2 linked regions of the Saccharomyces cerevisiae S288C genome follow. Changing the gene in region 2 together with the main gene of any one other region gives a genetic interaction. Each region holds a gene or a part of one and is shown on either strand. Other genes may lie near its edges. The genes, in order: VRG4 and LRG1.

Region 1 (8,162 bases), on a different chromosome or scaffold from region 2:
CCTCCTCTGTCTAATCCAGTTCCGTATCTGGGTACTGCTGCTTCTTTGTTAAAATCGCAGCATGCTTCCCATTGTTGGGAATTGACTTTGAGCAATATTTAGTTAGTAACTACCATATAGGTGACTGTCGTGTGCCAGCTATAACAGAAATAATCCTTTCACCATGATCATTGTAAACGATCAAAGAAAACTCTGAAGGGACTATAATGCAGTCTTCATGCAGACACTTGAAATATACGACATTAGTAGCTCCCAAGGTAGTAGGCACATCCTGCGTAAATTCTCCACAACCATGTTGTATATATAGCAGCCATAGTATGACCGAGCACATGGGACGTACGAATAAAAGATTTTCTCAGATCCCTGAACTTGAGCGTCAACCATGAATTTCTCTACTTTTTTTTCGAGCAGTAATTACCATTTTAGGTTTGATTACAATCACAGCTTCAGCAGAATTTGATTTCGACGTAGGCTATGAAGAGTTTGTCCGTATCAACCCTGATAAGACCTTCTTAGAAAGTGAGATTGGCCTTTACGTTGGTTGGACCGAGGGTAGTCAACGGCAGATAACAACGATACCACATAATTCCACGTTGGCGGCATCACTACAAGAGTAGAATGGTTGTGGTGGTAATGGCACAGAAACCTCCATCGCTACGTCCACACTTACGATGAGTGGTATACCTATCGCTACGATAATGAAGCACAGAAAAAGTGTACTTATCATATTACCGCAACTATGTACGTGAGGTGTAAATTATGGCTCTCATAGGACATAAGTAGGACAGAAATTGAAATTTTTGTGTTGGCAGAGCGAAAGAAACTTGAATTCGTTTATGAGGAATAAATTCTCAGCTCCATCCATGGTTCCAGTTGACGCTATGATACGCAAATTCCTTTGTGATACAGGTATCATTTCTGCAATTCCTCGTAGATTGTTGATCATACCATAAGATTGATGCTGGGGAAAGTGGAGAAGCTAACTTAACGATTGAGGCCTTGGCAAACCCTGTTAAACCAGTACTATCGGCCTTAACATGCGACTTAGAGAGAGAGAGAGAGAGAGATGTTTGCGTTTGCGTCATGATAGAGATGCTACATCCACATAGTTGTTGTAGACATGTTTAAAGGTACAATTCTGCAACAACGCCTTGAAATTTTCCAAAACTAACCAAGCACATTGGAGTTACGCTTATATAGTAAGCCACTTCACTTGCGTTGCTGTAAAGGTTGATAACTACAGGTAGGAATTAATGAATGTTAAATAAAAAAGGGAAATACCATCATCTCGACAAGAAAGGCAAAATAACTTTTCAATCTCACCAAGACGCGCGAACGAAACTCGTGCGTCTATATTAGTATCTTGACGGCGCTTTTACATCATTAAAGGTGTAATAAAACTGAAGTCATGCGATGGCACTGAAATAATCAAAGTAACTATTTGTGATGGCATGCACTGTGATATGATCTCAAGGAAAAAAATGCAATGTCGGGCGCCAATACTTATGATCATGCTTAGTCTCGACATTGACCTTGCTTGCTACAGTAATCTGGTGTCCGAGTAGTGACATCTAGGTACCGGTGAGAACTATATCTTCATTACTACACTTGTCGCCCCTGAATATTATCGCTACACACGCGAAAGAGCTCTTGTTAAAGTTACTCTCGCATCATTGCGGTACATGTTTTGCATATTCATCTGAAGTAGGAAAGGGTATAAGCAGTATATGATGTACCATCTGCATAAGCGGTGTTTAATGCGTACCTATCGTTTAAGAACAAAAGGAACACACCCACACCCGCTCCAATACCATATTGAGAGAATAATGAGGTAACATATGCTTCTATTTGGTTCGATAAGACGGCTACTAGTCCAAAAAAAGTCAAACAACAATTTCAACAGCTACATTCTGAAGATAGAACGCATTTTTGCCTGAATATTGCAACTCAATAGACATTCTAAAGTGCTACGAGAAAAAAGCTTGTAATGGACCATGGCAATGTGCGCCATATATATATGCGGCTCCCTTATGAGTAGAAGAAAATATATGACTGGTGGTACAAAGTGGCATGGTGGTATATAGATGTAGGAACACCATTTGAGTTTGCCATAATGATTAAATTTCCCTTTTTATAAAGAATTAGCCGCCCATAACACGAAAAATATCACAGTTGACGAAAGAAGACACGTCGCCTAAACGCGTAATGAATCGCAATATACGAAAAGCTAAACGGGTTTTTCAGAATCCTCTTACCCAGCCTTGGATAATAGTTTTGGCCGAAAAAAAAAAAAAGAAAGAAAAAAATTGAAATTTCGCGATCCGAACAAACAATGAACAGAAAAACAGAATATATATAACGCTGCCAAGCCTATTTCTTGTTGCCGATTAATTGTTGACATCCTCTTAATTACCAAAAGAGCCTAAGAAAACAAACACACTAACCACACAGTATCTTTCGCCCGAATGTCTGAATTGAAAACAGGTCATGCAGGCCATAACCCTTGGGCTTCAGTTGCCAATTCCGGTCCGATCTCTATTTTATCCTACTGTGGTTCCTCTATTTTAATGACGGTGACTAACAAGTTCGTCGTCAATTTGAAGGATTTCAACATGAACTTTGTCATGCTTTTCGTGCAATCTTTGGTTTGTACTATAACCTTGATTATCCTACGTATACTGGGCTATGCGAAGTTCCGTTCATTAAACAAAACAGACGCCAAGAACTGGTTCCCTATTTCCTTTTTACTGGTCTTGATGATCTACACCTCTTCGAAGGCTTTACAATACTTGGCTGTTCCAATTTACACCATTTTCAAGAATTTGACTATTATCTTGATTGCTTATGGTGAGGTTCTCTTTTTTGGTGGCTCTGTCACCTCCATGGAATTGTCATCATTTTTGTTGATGGTCCTTTCTTCTGTCGTTGCAACTTGGGGTGACCAGCAAGCTGTGGCTGCCAAGGCTGCTTCATTGGCTGAAGGAGCAGCCGGTGCTGTTGCCTCCTTTAACCCAGGTTATTTCTGGATGTTCACCAACTGTATCACTTCTGCATTATTCGTTCTTATAATGAGAAAGAGAATTAAGTTAACTAACTTCAAGGATTTCGACACTATGTTTTACAACAATGTTTTGGCTCTACCTATTCTATTGCTGTTTTCTTTCTGTGTGGAAGATTGGTCTTCAGTTAATTTGACCAATAACTTTTCTAACGATTCGCTAACTGCTATGATCATCAGTGGTGTTGCATCCGTCGGTATTTCTTACTGTTCCGGTTGGTGTGTTCGTGTTACTTCGTCTACTACATATTCGATGGTAGGGGCTTTGAACAAGCTGCCAATTGCCTTGTCTGGTTTGATTTTCTTTGATGCTCCAAGAAACTTCTTATCTATTCTCTCCATTTTTATTGGTTTCCTATCAGGTATTATTTATGCTGTTGCCAAACAAAAGAAGCAACAAGCCCAACCTTTACGTAAATGAGAACTTACGGGGGGTGCAATTTATTTTTTTTTTTTGGTTTATTTTATTTTATAGAGGCATCTAATGCAAGTAGATTTATATACAATTATACTTAAAATTGATATACCTTAGAACAGGTCGGACACAACGTGTGGTAACTCCAATATATCACTAATGACAATAGCGCCTTCTGGTGTTTGCCCCAAAATTTCATTTACTTCATTCTCAACTAAATGAATACATGTTTTCATGCCCAATTTGATACCTGTCTCGATGTTTTTCCCACTGTCATCTATAAAATAAGCATTCTCGTATCTTGCCAACCCGCTTTCCTTCATGGCTTTTTCAAATGCTTTAACATGTGGTTTGCAGACCAGCGTATCTGTCCTAGAGTAGTCACAATATGTCAATCCATCAAATAAATCCGCTATACCCAACAATCTCAGGCAACGTATTGCGTGGTTTTTATAAGCGTTGGTGAAAAGCCACAATTTATCAATCTTTCCCGATTGTCTCAATCTCAACAGCATATTCCTTAATGGTATATCAGGTTTCAAGATATCTTGTAGTGGTAAGGAATCATCCACAAGCCGGTTATATTCCAGTGCGTTCACTTTGTGGAACATTACAAGTCCCCTTATGGCAAGTCCATACTCTTTGTAGTAAGAGTTATTCAAAACGTGAGCATCTTCAGGTGATAGTTTCAAGTGTGTTTGAAAGAACCTCAGTATAGATTGTTGCATAAGATCGTGAATTCTCGTGGATGATTTATAGAGACAGTTGTCGATATCAAAAAAGAAAACTTTTAAGTTCGGGTTTTGAGGTGTAGCAGAAATATCTTGATCGATCGGAAATGTCACTTTCGAACCTGGATGAGTCAATGATTCAAGATGTGCTTTATTCTTGGCAATTTGTTCGTTCACCTCATTCTGATAGGTTGCCAAATCGGATGCAGTATATTCAACAGTCATGAAGCCTAGTAATGATTCGGTCCAAGAGCTTACTCATGTATTCCGAAATTAATTCAGGTGAAATGGGGGAGTAATATGATATCAAGAAGGCGATCACTTATTGAAGTCCACATAGATACACACAGATAAACATATATATATTATGTATATATATATATATATATATATATATATATATATGTATATATCAACGCCCATACCATTATCATTATCAATAAGTTTGCGAGGCGGGTACCCTCCCTCGTGCTATTATATTACTGTTGCCTTAATTGAGTAATTTGATCGATGACTAATTGCAAGAGATTGTGATTGTTGTACGAAGTTATAAAATCATCCACAACACTCGTTGAGTTTTCCAGTGGTGAAGGTAAGCGGGATGAGATCTGAGTCTTAAACTCTTGCAATTGAGTAATCAATTTATTTCTCAAATCTGTCAGTGTCTCTTGAGGGCATTTATACAATTCTAAGTTTTGTAGGATTTCAATCGTAGGCTGCACCGTTTGATAAATTTGCAACGTGGTATCATTGGTTAAACCTTTTGAATAGAATACCGCTGTATCAATATATTGTTTCAATGCATCATCATCAAGTGGAGATACAGTGCCATCATTGAGGTTCGTATCATTATCATGGAAGATATCTAATTTATGAAGAGTTTCAGGCTCCTTAAGCTTGGCTCTCAAAGTAGAGAGTGTATCCAAATGTGTGTTTATTTCTTTCACGGTTCTCCGAATGAGATGGTCTCTAAAGGTGGACGAATTCACAAAATCGACAACAATCGCGTCCTTATATTGCTGATTGGAGTGATATTGATGATCTTTGCTGTTGGCACTTGATATCAGTAACGCTTGAACGTTATCGTTAAATAGTGTCTCGAATAGGGATTCATTGAATATAGAAAGTAAATCATCGTCCCACTTCGAGGAAAACTCCGTGTTTAGTAAATTGTATAGTTTTACCCACTGTAGTAAAGTTAAGTTTAATGTCTTCATAGAGTCCACCAAGAACTTCTGTAGTCGACAACATTTGTCCTTGACAAGCGCTTCAAATTTGGAAGGAACTGGTATCAAAGATAATTCGTGGAAATTCAACAGTAGCTCGTCGAATATCCGCGACGGAGTAGTGGAAGTAACTATACGATTACAGAAGTTGTTGATGGAGATGGTCCAATTTGAAATTACTAAAATGTTTTGCGATGGTATGCTGACTTTTTCTTCGTCACGAGGTGGTGATATATGGGTAGTGGTTTGGTATGGTAGTGGAGTTAACTTATTCAACTGAAATTTTTCATCATTGAAACACAGGGATTTAAAATCTTGATCAACATTTTTCAAATTGAGCGACAAGTCATTAACAGAATCGGTCAAGCTTAAGATCTTGTTATAGTTCTTTAGCAAATTCTTTTGGAAGGCCTCATTGGTTTTAGTCAAATCGTTCTGTAACTCCAATTGATAATCTTTAATCTGTGGAATATGAGAATCGCGAAACAATGGTAAGACTTCATCCATTTTCTATCGTATTGGTTTTTTTTAGGTTTTCTACCACAAGATTTGTTGTACGAATGTGTTATTTATTATTCACCGCCATGTTTCATTTTTCTTCAGCATAATGATGAACTGTAACAGAAAATAGGAAAAAAAAATTGTCATCTGAGAAATTGCTTTGGATGACCAGATCCAAAACAGACATAAGCATTCGTATAATTGGTACATAGGTATATATCAAATAAAAATATGCATTATTCTAAAAAAAAAAAAAAAAAAAAAAAAAAAAAAATCAAAAATGTCTCTCTAAAGGGTGATTATAAAAAACTTGGTTTGGGCAAGTTTTTAGCCTCCCTTGGACCATTAGTGGCGAAAGTGGAGCCTGCATAAGAGTGACTGAGTTTTTTGGCACTGCCATTACAACCCATTGGTATTATCCCTTGAGAGCCATGCGGGGATTGTTTCTGGTTCAGAAGCAGATTCTTTAGGTTCTGACTCAGTAAACGAGTATCATCTTTGTTGTTCTGTCGTGGCGTTTCTTTATTATTCTGTCTGTTTTTTTTACCTAAAGTAGTTGTAGAGGAAGGGGAAGAAGGTGGAGAGTGCTTCTTTTGATTAAATGATGGTTTCTTGTTGGAAGAATGGCCGAAGTTAGGTTTCTGACCGTTAGGAAGAGTTTGAGGAGGTGGTATATCTGTGATATAGTTGTTATTATTGGCGTTCTTAGCAGCATTTCCCCTCGCACGATTATTTCTAGTTTTTTGTTTGATTAGATTATTTGTCTTGTTCCTGCCAGCCGATGGCAACAGCCTGGAGCTGTTGAAATACATGGTATCCGTCGACATGCCTTGTAATATTTGTGTGAGTATATTTGTGTGCTAAGTGTAATTACGTTACGCTTTGCTGAGTACTTCGTCTTCAATACAGAGTATGTTATTGTCCTTGTTATTTGAAGACTTTTACCTTTTCTATCCGTATTTCTCTATCCGATACAACAACATCATTTTACACGAACAGCCGGATGATAAAACTGTAGTACGTATGGTATTTGTGATATCCTATATAGCCATATAATTACTAGCAGCTATGCAACAGTCAAAGGATCGCAATCCATTTTGCTTACGACTACTTCGTGGCCCTCATCTTGCAACAAGCCCTTCATAACGTCTTGAAGGAATCCACGCTCAGTATTTGAGTGGTTGCAAACAATAACGGTCTTGCCCATTTCTTTCCACTTCAGTACTTCATGATGTGACATTTCTCCCGTATAGTAAAGGTCTACGTCCTCTTTTAGTTGCTTAAACACGCCAGAACCGCTCCCGGCACAGACAGCGACTTTTTTGATTTTGAGTTGATTCCATGCGGATGGAGCAGCAAGAGATGCTACTTGTACATAGGGAACCCGTAAAACACGCTTGACATTTTTGACAATTTGCTCCAAAGAGATGTCTTTATTGAATTCTACGAATCTACCGTAGCCAATCAAGTCGTCAGTTTCGCCACTTACAGTTTCCAAGGCATAAGACTTTGCGACGTTCTCTCCGTTGTTCAAACCCCTAACCAACCAGTCATTTACACCGCCACGAGCGGCATCTACGGCAGTGTGAGGGCAGTATACGGATATTCCGTACTGGATTAGCTTTATAGCTGTCTCGTGTTGTGGGTTTGTATGTGGGCTTAATCTGTTCCAGCTTGGGAAAATAAAAGGATGGTAAGCAACAATTACGTTGCAGTTAGCATCCACAGCTTCTTGAGCAACTGACTTCGTGAGGTCTACAGTCAAAAGGACCTTTGTTTTAGCGTTTGCATCGGCAGTGGTGACTTGTGCAGTGGAACAATCGATGAGAAGACCCGTATTGTCCCAGCTCTTGTCTGCGTACTTTTGAGGGTAGAACTTGGTAATGCTACGCACAAGTTTGTCCAATTGTGCTCTAGTAATAGCTCTGCTCATTGCGTTTCGGTGGACTCTTGTTCTGTTTCCTTCCGACTGTGTATTGGAATAAGTTTTTCGGTGTTATATATATACATATATATGACAGGTGAAAGAATTGAAAAGGTGAAAATAAATGACGAATTTGCAAAATCACATTTCCTAACAACTCAGTGGAGAGAAACAAAGCGCCAACGACACTATAAGATGCCCGTTACTGAACAGGGACTCCGCGAGAGGATAGAATCAGCCATACCGCAAGTTTACCATATCATTGTGACGGATCTTTCGTACGGTTGTGGTCAGTCGTTTGATATTG
Region 2 (10,553 bases):
CGATACCAATGCTCCCGGCTCAAACGTGGATATGTTTCATTGGCAGCTAAAGGAGAAGGATCAAATGCAAGAGCAAGAGCAAGAGCAAGGGCAAGACCCTTATAAGAACCCACCGCTGCTTACTAATGAAGACATAATCGCAAAATGGTTCTTTAACGGTGATGATCGCAACACCACTAAAGTTTGGGTAGCCGGCCAGCAAGTCTACCAGATTTAGTTGTATATGTTTAGAGGGCTACTATATCTTGTTCCAAGTATTAATGAGTAATTTGAGTATATGTACAAATTTCTTTTGCGTATCGCGCTTTAGCCGCCCATTGTACAATATTAAGATTAGGAACACAAAGAGATTTGCCAGTGAAAGAATTGCAAAACTCGGTTTGGGATTTTGAATGGGATAGTTGAATACAACAAACTTCTCCGAATATGAATCATTGGTTAGCATTTTTGAATAAGCCTGAATCCCTAAAGGAACAAAACTCGGATTGCGACCAGCAGGGGGAGATGAGACATGTTACTGATGGCACTTTAACTAAGTCTCCAGAAAGTAAACCTTTTCGAGAGCGGCGTTCACAAACTTGGATAGACTCTGAAGTACCTACGTCCACTGAAAAATCTAATGTGCAGGAAAGTATTTCTTCTGATATTATATCAAAACTGTCGAATAGGCGTTCCCGAAGAAACCGCTCAGAGAGTTGGGCAGGTTCAGAAGCCTCTTCACCTTCTGGTAACATTAGTACATTGGAAAATGCTACGGAAAAAAATACTTTAAAATCGCCTAATAAATTTCTACAAAGGGGTGGTTTACCAACTGTAGGAATAGGCTCGCAGGCTCTGTCACCTGCAGGAAAGCCCAGTACATTAGGAAATGTAAGCCCTGGTAAATTTACCACATACAAAGTACACAATAGTATTGAAGTGAATAGATTTTCTTCTACACCTACAAAGCTCCTCACGAATCCCCACAAAGTCGCAGCAATCTCAAATGATGAGCATTATGTTGTAAGCAATGAGAGTCTGGAGGAGAATATAGAGGTTGCGCATCTAGAGAACGTATTTCGCTCATCTAAAACTCCAGATGAAGAACAGTCCGAATATATGAAATTAGGAGAAATTAGGCTATCTTCTTCATCATATGGAGGAAGTATTTCTAAAGAAAATAGTTTACCCAAGGTATTAGATGAGCTCCAGTCCCAAAATGAAGAGATCAAAGCACTAAGACAAAAACTAGAAGAGAAGGATGACAGGATTCAAGAACTAGAAGAACTTAATAGCATGAATGATGCTAAACTTCAAAGAATAGAAGACTTGCAGAAGGAATTCCACAACGAAAGAAAAGCTGCATCAAAAAGGCTCAACATTGTTCAGGACCGGTTTCGCAAAGAAATTAAAAAAATTAGAGAAGAAAAAATTACAGACTTTCAAAACAAAAACGCTAGCAAGAAGGAGAAGAATGAAGTGACTAGTGCCAAAACTAAATGTAAAGCTTTTTCTCAAAGAAATATTTTAGTTTCGGAACTATACAGGAAGCAAAAACAAATCCTAAACTTGCAGCAAGAAAATGATAAATTTCTAAAAGATATTAACGAATCGAATAACTCTATAGTAAAATTAAGATCTGAAGTTGAAATACTGAAAAGCAATTTGCAACTTTCTCAAGATGAAAATAAAAAATTACATGATAATGGTTCGTTTTACGAGAAAAGGTTAAATGATGTTTACAGCTATATGCAAAATCTTTCTCTTTTTGAGAAAGACCTTGGTAAATTCATACTAGAAGAAATGAAATGTGGCCATTCCCCTTCGATGTTTCAAAACGGTTTTGCCAAGCTTTATCCGGATTTTCAAGATATCAAAAATCTTGAAAATATGGAGCAATACAAACAATTAAAAGGAAAGATAGAACTTTTGGAAAAGAATGACCGTATACGTCTTGAAAAAATCATTTCTGTCTTTAAATTGATTAATGAAAGATTACATTTTATGCAACAGCAGCACAGTCACAAAATAAAATATCTTCAAAAAGAGGCGTTAACAAAAGAACAACAATTTCGTTTGGAAAAAAGGAGATGGCATGATATCCTGAACCTCAAGGAAGAAAACTTTCAAAAACTGAAGAGCGAGTTAAAAGAAAAATTAATACTAAGTGAAAAAATTCAGAAAAATGCCGAAGATAAATTGAACGATTACATGAATGAACACCAGGAAATTGTTGAGAAACTTCAGAATCAGGCTTTGATTGCTTCAAGATGGAGCACTCAAATTCAAGAGTCAGAAAACACACATAAGAAAATTACTGACGAGTTAGCTGGAAAACAAAGTGAAATATTAAAACTCGAAGAAACAATTCTATCACTAAAAGAAGATGTATTCCAAGAGAAGCTGAATTTAAAAAAACTATATGGTGATCCTTCTACCGAACTTAATTTTGAAACTGTTGGAAAATCTTTTCCACATATAACGAAGGAAAAGTACGACTCCTTGGGTCTTGATATTCTGACAGACCTTACCTATGTGCAATCGCAAAATCTAATCAAAAATTTATTAATTGTGTTGGATATCCCATTAAAAACCTTCTTAAAAATTGTACCAACAATTGTCATTCAACTTAGATGTGAGCTTACACTTCTCACAAAATTTGCTAATGATTTGAACCTTAAGGTTTTTGGTAAACAGTTAGATTTCAAAAGTAGAAGAAAGGTCGCAATGAATGAGTTTTTGAACAATCATGATATTGCTGAAGTAAAGCATCCTCTTGAGTATGATTTGCAAGCGTTGTTTAAATATTTCTTTTCTTAGCTTTTTTTTTTTTATTTAGAACTAATATATTCAATGGTGTCATTAATTATTATTTAGAGAATAAGTTACTGGTGGGGGGTGCACCTAAAATAAAGTCACATAATATAGAGCATGGCAGATATTTTACCGCTGGTATTGCTTTTCCGAAATTTTGGTGGAATATTCTTCTGAAAGATTTCAATTTGCTAACAGACTTCTTAAGCACTTACAAGAACAATGTAACTTCTGATCTGCTGTTGGAGATGTTCTGAGATATAAACAAAATTTACATCAAAAGGCGAGTAATACAATGATACAAATGATTATAAGTACATACTAATGTTACAATTTCTAATTCCATTTTAGTCAGAATATACTATGTTGTATAATAATAAAATAATGTCCATTTCCATAGCATACTGGTAAGATTTTATTGAAATAGGCAAAGAAAAAAGCAAAGAACTCTAATAAGAACGACAAACCTCGAAATCTGAGGGGAAGGAGAAGAAAAAAAGGAAAATGAGGGGAAACTTACAGTTTCTGCCTATTATTTGTTTATTTCACCTTGTATGACCGTTGTGGTCGAATCTTTGACTGTGACAGGAGTTTTTATGTCACATTCGGAATAATCGATTGTTTTACTTTGCATAACGGTGGAAATAAAATGGTTGATTGATTCGTAGTTATCTAATTTTTGTAACTGCACATCTTTTAAAAGATTCATTAAAAATTTCGGAACCATTGCCATTTCTTCATTGTGAGTAATCAGGTAATCAACTATCTCAATAGCCAAAAAGTAATTTTCTCCCTTGTTTTGAGCGAATGAATCAACTAAACCTGATTCTGGTTCGTCAGGGACGTTATCATTGGAAATTTCTTTATGTCGCAAATATAAAATATTAGGTGTTATGACTGTGGATAAATTGTGAATGTCCATTTTTGATCCCATTTCATTCTCAATGTAAGAGAATGAGGACGTCCAATGCAAAAATGACAAAAGTGCCTCCAGTAAATTGCGATTGTAAGTGGGTAATAAGGAATATATTAGCAATATAACACGCTGTTTCTCATCCTCTAAATCAATTTTCGCGGCCTTAATCCATAGTTCATATAAGTCTGTCGATAAAATCGGTTGGGGAAGCTCTCTGATAAATTTCTTCAAAAGAGCAGATAATTGGATTGCATTTTCTTTCGAGAAGTCTGGAGCTTCTGTTGGATTACTGTCGATGTTAGCAGTTAGTTCTCTCAGTCTTCTGATATTTCCATTTTTCCTGAAAATACCTTCTACTGACATATCCATTTGCCTCAAAGATGATATTAGCTCGTCAATAATTATGGGGATCCTAATCTTCACTGGCCCCACACCTAAATCGGAATCAACACCCCATTTCTCGCACAACACATCTAAAGGAGCACCAAAAACAGTCTTAGTGATGGGCTTTTTAGGCTCCATGCTCATCATGATTTTCATTCTGTTCCAAAAGCTACCTGTGACTTGCTTTTCATTCGAGAAGACCATTGAGACTAAGCTAGTATAGTTAGGATCAGTCTTCGATATCAGTTGTTTACCAGCTAGCAGTGACAAACTGATAGCCCTTATCATCGAGAGTTCCATCGTACTTAATTCAGAGTAATAAACTCCGCTTTTCTTGGGAACAACATTCGAAGTTTCGTCATCGGTTTCTTTTAGTTTTTTAAAGTGTGCAAAAGCGTTAGGTCTTAGCTCCCTTGCTTGTTCAGCGGCAACAATACGTGAAATATCATCTAGTGTCAACGTCTTAGTATTACTGAAAACATTTTCACGTGTGCTCACTTGTTGGCTCGATGATGGGTCATCTGTTTGAATCACAAGATTTTTACTATCTCCTTGTTTTGTCGGGTCATTTAAATCTGTCTCTGCAGTTTCCAGTATCACTGATTTTCTAGCTTGTTGTTTGTTATGAGTGACCCGAACACTTTCTCTTCTAGATCTCAATCTTTTAATATCATTCAGTGTCCTAATGTAAGTTTGTTCCTTTAGCATAGTACTCTGTAAAGAGTTTCTGCCTACCTTGTTAGATGCTTTCGATTTCAACATTACAGTTCTTGATTTGACTAGGGCAATTTTTAGAAGAAAAATTAGTTGTGCTAGCTTAGTAACAAATTTGAAACCCGGCACAGAGGCCGGATCATCAATTGAGCAGTGAGAACATAGTATCTTTTTTTTCTCTTTATTAAAGGTGGGATCCGTCAAACTCCTCGGATTTATATTCTTATGGCATGAAGAACAAGTAAAACAAGCAATATGCCACCGGTGCTCATAAAATTGAATGCATTCCTCCTGTATGTATTTATTGCATCCAGCGCAACTATCTGTGGCGTTAACAGGAGTCTTTATATACTGAAACGGGTTATTTTCAAAAAGCTCATTTTTCTCTACTTCTCTTAAAAACCTCAACAATGGATTAACAGAATGAGTCAACTTATTGTTTTCTAGAGCCGTATATAGCCCAAATCTTGTTAACAGTTTTAGAAAATGGGCTAATCCAGTAATAACAGACATAAAAGATGAAATTGTGATAGTTTCGTTTTTGTTTTCTGTCCCTAACTTTCTTAAGAGTTGTAAATATATCATAATTTTTGTGGACAGATTTTTGGGAAACTTGCTGTATTTACTGGCCGCCATTGCGTTGTTTTCAATGCATTCTTGATCACTGTTAACTGGCATACTTTTGTTCGTCGAGAGGTTTAAAGTATCCAGTCCCCGGAAAAGACAGTCGATTTTTAGTACCAACAGACCCGTAGACTCTATGCCCTTTAACTGATCATTGCTTGTCAAATATTGAAACATATCAGAAATGCAAGAAGCTGCCTCTTCCTCAAAACGATATAAAACCGACCACGTTTTAGATAGAATAAAGTTAAACGCCTGCATTTGTTTATCTAACTCGTAGGCAGTTGGGTTTATATCTTTGTCTCCGGAATTTGGGTTATATTCCAGCTTGGGAAGGTACTGCAAACCAACAGTTTCTGCTGCTAAATTTACATGCCAATATTTATGAATTCCATAACATTCCGGATGCCAACAATGTATTTCTTCACCTTTAGGAAACTCGATATATTGATCCGATATTGGGAACTCGCACCCTTTGCAACGTTTCGAAAAATACTTGAGAAAGTGGTACTTGCAATACAATTGGTTTCCGTACATGAAGCATTTTTTAACCCCACAAGGAGTAGCACATATTGTACAAGAAAAATGCTCTTCGTCGTATCTGTAACCGAATGCGGTATAATATAATCCACGCAATGGGGTATCACATACATGACATAACAAATTATGTCTTCTAAAATAATCGTATTGGCATAACAATATAGATTCACTTGTCTTGTCTACTTGATATGGGAAGTACTTCGGTTTTAAAGGTTTCTGACAGTCTTGGCAGGTAAAACAACTTTCATGATAATATTTACCGAGAGCCTTTAAAGTTGTTTTAGTTCGTTGGCTATCGGGTATAACTAACTTGTTACAACGGGCGCATATTTTCTTCTGATTCTTCACCTGCACGGTCATCGGAGATGCAGTATTCAGCGATCGATAACCAGCAGAATTTTGAATCATTGCTCACCTCCGGTACTTGTTGTTTGATAATTTGTCTGCTCTTTTTTTCTTTGGATTTGAATAAATACGGTTGCGTATATCTGGGATAAAGGCCAAATAACAATGTTAAGGCAAAGACGGATACTGTTTTGAATGAGAAGCCCAATTGCTGGTTTCTAGCAAGAACAGCCTTGGTTGGCTCGAGAGGAATGATTTACATATTTTAAATTCTCAAATGACGTTTCAGATTCTGTTCTTATTTGTTTTCCATTTTGTTTACATCTTCCGTGCCCATCAATACCCGGCATACTTTGAAGACGAAAAAGATACTTACATAAAGATAAGGATATACTCGCCAAGATCGATTTCTTGAAGTAAATACTTTGTGGGGAGGTGTTGTAGCGATGGGCTAACCTGCAAGCATTAAGTTATATTTACTAGTGAGGTACGTTGTAGAAAAGTGCGTTACAACGAGAAGTAATTCAAACGTAAGTAGCACATGCGGGCTTCTTGATATATTTGCTAGCTCAAAAAGCTAACTGAGTACAACATGGGGGCCACCCATGTTGATTATGTTCTGGTCGTAAAGTGATCTTTTACGGGTTATATTGTTTGCCCATAATTTCAGTTTTGAGGTGCCTATCGCTTCTTCTCGTTTTGTTTTGGGAACGTTTGAGTATTTACTTTATAGTGCACTTTTTTGCGTTTTCATCTCTTGACTGTTCGAAAACCAATGTTGGTGAAGGAAATAGCTAAGTATGACCTCGCCTTAAACCAATCTTAGTATCCTGTCTCTTTGCCACAGCTATTTCCTACTTCCATTAAGATCAATTTCTTTGCTATTGGAATCACAGGCGACTTAGAATGCATTTTCTATACTAGTAATTCGCAATTTTCTTGTTTTCCACAACGGTTTAATACTAAGCAGATGATATGACAATATGGCAAACATGATATACAGAAGAGAGCTTAATGGGACCAACTAAAGTTAGATGACACCATGGTCCAATTTTCTGAGCATGAACAACGGCAGAACAATAGCTGAACTGGACCGATTTGATTTTTGAACAGGAAATCTGTAATTTTTTATGCTTTGTTTTATGTAGCGATTTTATGATTATTGTTAATTATACATCTCACAAAAGCCAAGAAGAAATCTGAAAAAGTGAGCCCACACGTAGACTATTTGACGCTCATGAAAGTTGTCAAGCCTTGTGTTAGCGTTAACGTACTTCATTTAAAACATGGCCGCTTCGTGAGAAGTGGAAGCATAGTATCGATATTTTCTATAATCTAAATTATTTTAGTGCCCATAATGCAGTATACTGTATCGTATAGGAGTTCTGACTTGCTAATGTAACACAGTAGACTTCACCTTCACTTATGGATACCATTGGCTTATTAAGACATCAGAGTTCATTAAATGAATAGTAACAATCCTTGCGCAAAAAAAGGCGTCGATGACGCACTTTTGCGTTCAAGTTTTATATACTTGGAAAGCTATGACTGATGAGACGGACCTGTTTCGCATAGAAATTCGGTGCTTAACATGTAATTGCACCTTTGTTTTTGAGAAATCCATGAATTTCGCGGTAAAGGCTCGATTAATGATTATTCTATATATATGTACTATAAGCCGATTATCGCAGTTTTTCCAGCCTCCTTAGTAAATTACCCACTGTTTTAAGATGAGTCCTACTGACGGGTTACATTTTTATAGTCTTTCTTCTCAGGCGACCCAAAGTTCTGTCTGACTGTCTCGTATTATATGTAGAAACGATAAAAAATTATATGGTGGCTACTGCGACCACCAATCCAAAGTGTCATACCTTGAGAATTAGACAATTGTATACAACACTAGCATGAACAGTATGGTAAATTTGGCGAGAGAATGAGAAGGCCTTGTATTATGTATTCCCGCATTGGTTTCTGTACCTTTCCCTTGCAGAAAACCACATGCATAAAAGTCGCTTGCCACATAACTCGCATTTGTGAAGCCATGCGAACCACACGTAAACGTTTCAGGACTTTCAGCAGGCTGCCCAGTGAGAAATGTATCATAAAAAATTGAATAAGTTGGGTTCTTTTCTTTAGCAGTTTTCTTTCCTTCAGCTACCCCACAATTATAAATTTCTGTCGGCGTATAGGTTTGATTAATATAGCCCTTGCTACCGCACTTAAACAATAGAGCATTTTCAGTTACGTTCATTTTTTTGTGTCTCTATTATAGATTTTTCTTGGGTGTGATGCAAAAATCGCTGATAGGAATTATAATAAAGGAATATATATATATATATATATATATATATATATATATAGGTACTAATTGGCTTTTCTTATACGCCTCCTATTGATTCACTGCCGAAAGTGCCCTGTTATATACGACAATCATACGCCTGTTTGCAAATAGTCAACATATTCAACTCGGAAGGTAAAAGATGAAAAGGCAATTTTTTTGATTTTCTAAGAAAATGCGCAGCGGGCAGAAGGGTCTTCGCAGGCAACTGAGTAAAGAATATGAGAAAAGCCTCTAAATGTTGAACCCTGAAAAAGTTTCATCTATTTTTGATAAAGACTTTTCAATAGTGCAGGATCACGCAAGAAAAAAAAAGGTCCTTAAGAGCAATTGTGGGAAAATATAATACAATGCTTGCGTTAAAACTTCTAGTTACCTTTTACAACCGAAAGTAAACACTAGCATGGGCTTGGAGACGAGCAGCGCAAATTATATAGTTTGAGATAGAACGCTTTCTCCGGTATTGCCTGGGGAAAAGGAGTCACATGATTAGAATCGGCGAAATTTTTTTTCCAAAATTAACAGCAGGGTTGTCTGGATGTTTTATTGAAAATAGAAGCCAATGACAAACACAAGAGGCCAGTAGTATATTAATTTTAATGTGCATTCTAAAGCATCCTCACGTCTTTCAATCTGAAGTTACTGTTCGAGAAGGAGAAGAAAAGAAGGAAAAATGAAGGATATGAATAATAACATGAGTACTAGTTACGTCCAATCTGGTCACACCATATATTGATGCATCTTATGCGCCATAACTTCTTTTTTTGTAGCTATAATTTGTTGCCAGAAAAATGAAAACTTTTCAAAATCAACCAGTTTCCAATTTTTCTGCAACTCGTTATTTATGAAGATAGATGATGATTGACCCCCTTTCTCCAAAAATCGATGCAGCATTGGGTTATTTTTTGAGCTTTCTAATTATAGGGCCATTTTCTAGCAAGACTGTATAGCACATGCTCGCAAAGAACATGGCGTAATGTTCATAAGAAACAAATTTTGTAAGTTTCTTGTGCCTTTTGAGTTTGAAATCATTGACCAGAACAATGAGAACTCTAAACACGACAAATGGATCTTAAATCAATTTTCTTGAAAACATCTTCCAGTTTCGATATTCGCACATTTGCCGGTAAAATAGTGCAATCTGCCTATACCTTTAAAATGGGATCTTGAACGCGTACCTGAAGGTTTTTTTAAATAAGGCCGAACCTAAATGTTGCCTTCAAAATTAACCTGTATCAAATTTTGAAGCCGAAGTTGGTATCCTCACATTGTCTAACCTCATGGTCTCCTAAAGTCCGGCGATCACTTTCCGTTGCGTGACTATTGATGATCAGACTGTCAACAATGTCGTTCCGGGCCTCCATAGCTTGAAGAATTTTCGTTGACGGAACTAGAGGAATGGCAGATGGAGATGACCTTAGTTTCATGTCGCCTTGATAGTTATCAAAGAGTACAGAAACAAGACGTCTCTTGCTCAATAATAAGGATTGGATCAGGTGCTTACAAATTTTATTCGTCATACAAACAATTACTAATATTTTTTTAATATTAAGCGTACCCCTATTTGATTGGCTCTCTTCTAAATTCATACGTTTTAAAATCCGCTTTCAACCGTCAACATAAAATTAGTAAGCAGACCTCGTTCCAAGACCCAACTAAGTTGCACTAAATATCCTCGAACAAATTGGGGGCAGATTTTTGAACCATATAAAAGTCATGACAATATTTCCAGATCAAGGACAGTTGCAGTTCTTCCTTTCATCGGCCAGCTGACGAATTGACTGAGCGGCTTTGTATTTCACTAGAATACACTTCCTATAGCTACAAAATATTATTCAATAATATTAGTGAATTATTTAAACCTCTACCTGAACCACCTACCGAGTTGGGACGTCTCAG

The links.
Region 1: mutations in LRG1 (region 2) and VRG4 together harm fitness more than expected from each alone (negative genetic interaction), as found in Saccharomyces cerevisiae (one large-scale study listed by BioGRID).

Annotation. Positions count from the first base shown.
Region 1 is NC_001139.9:74,429-82,590, forward strand, and holds VRG4 (GDP-mannose transporter), read left to right. Parts: upstream 1-2,465; coding exon 2,466-3,479; downstream 3,480-8,162. Other genes in the region: SDT1 (nucleotidase), read right to left, coding at 3,587-4,429; Golgi transport complex subunit COG1, read right to left, coding at 4,684-5,937; EDC1 (Edc1p), read right to left, coding at 6,231-6,758; NIF3 (uncharacterized protein), read right to left, coding at 6,998-7,864; BOL2 (Bol2p), read left to right, coding at 7,946-8,162. UniProt on the Saccharomyces cerevisiae protein: Involved in the import of GDP-mannose from the cytoplasm into the Golgi lumen. Defective copy causes severe glycosylation defect and abnormal retention of soluble endoplasmic reticulum proteins. Involved in vanadate sensitivity.
Region 2 is NC_001136.10:18,649-29,201, reverse strand, and holds LRG1 (GTPase-activating protein LRG1), read right to left. Parts: upstream 6,380-10,553; coding exon 3,326-6,379; downstream 1-3,325. Other genes in the region: GUD1 (guanine deaminase), read left to right, coding at 1-217; ADY3 (Ady3p), read left to right, coding at 427-2,799; YDL241W (uncharacterized protein), read right to left, coding at 8,196-8,567; YDL242W (uncharacterized protein), read right to left, coding at 9,890-10,243. UniProt on the Saccharomyces cerevisiae protein: Acts in signal transduction. Activates CDC42, RHO1 and RHO2. Negatively regulates 1,3-beta-glucan synthesis. May be responsible for the down-regulation of CDC42 during mating.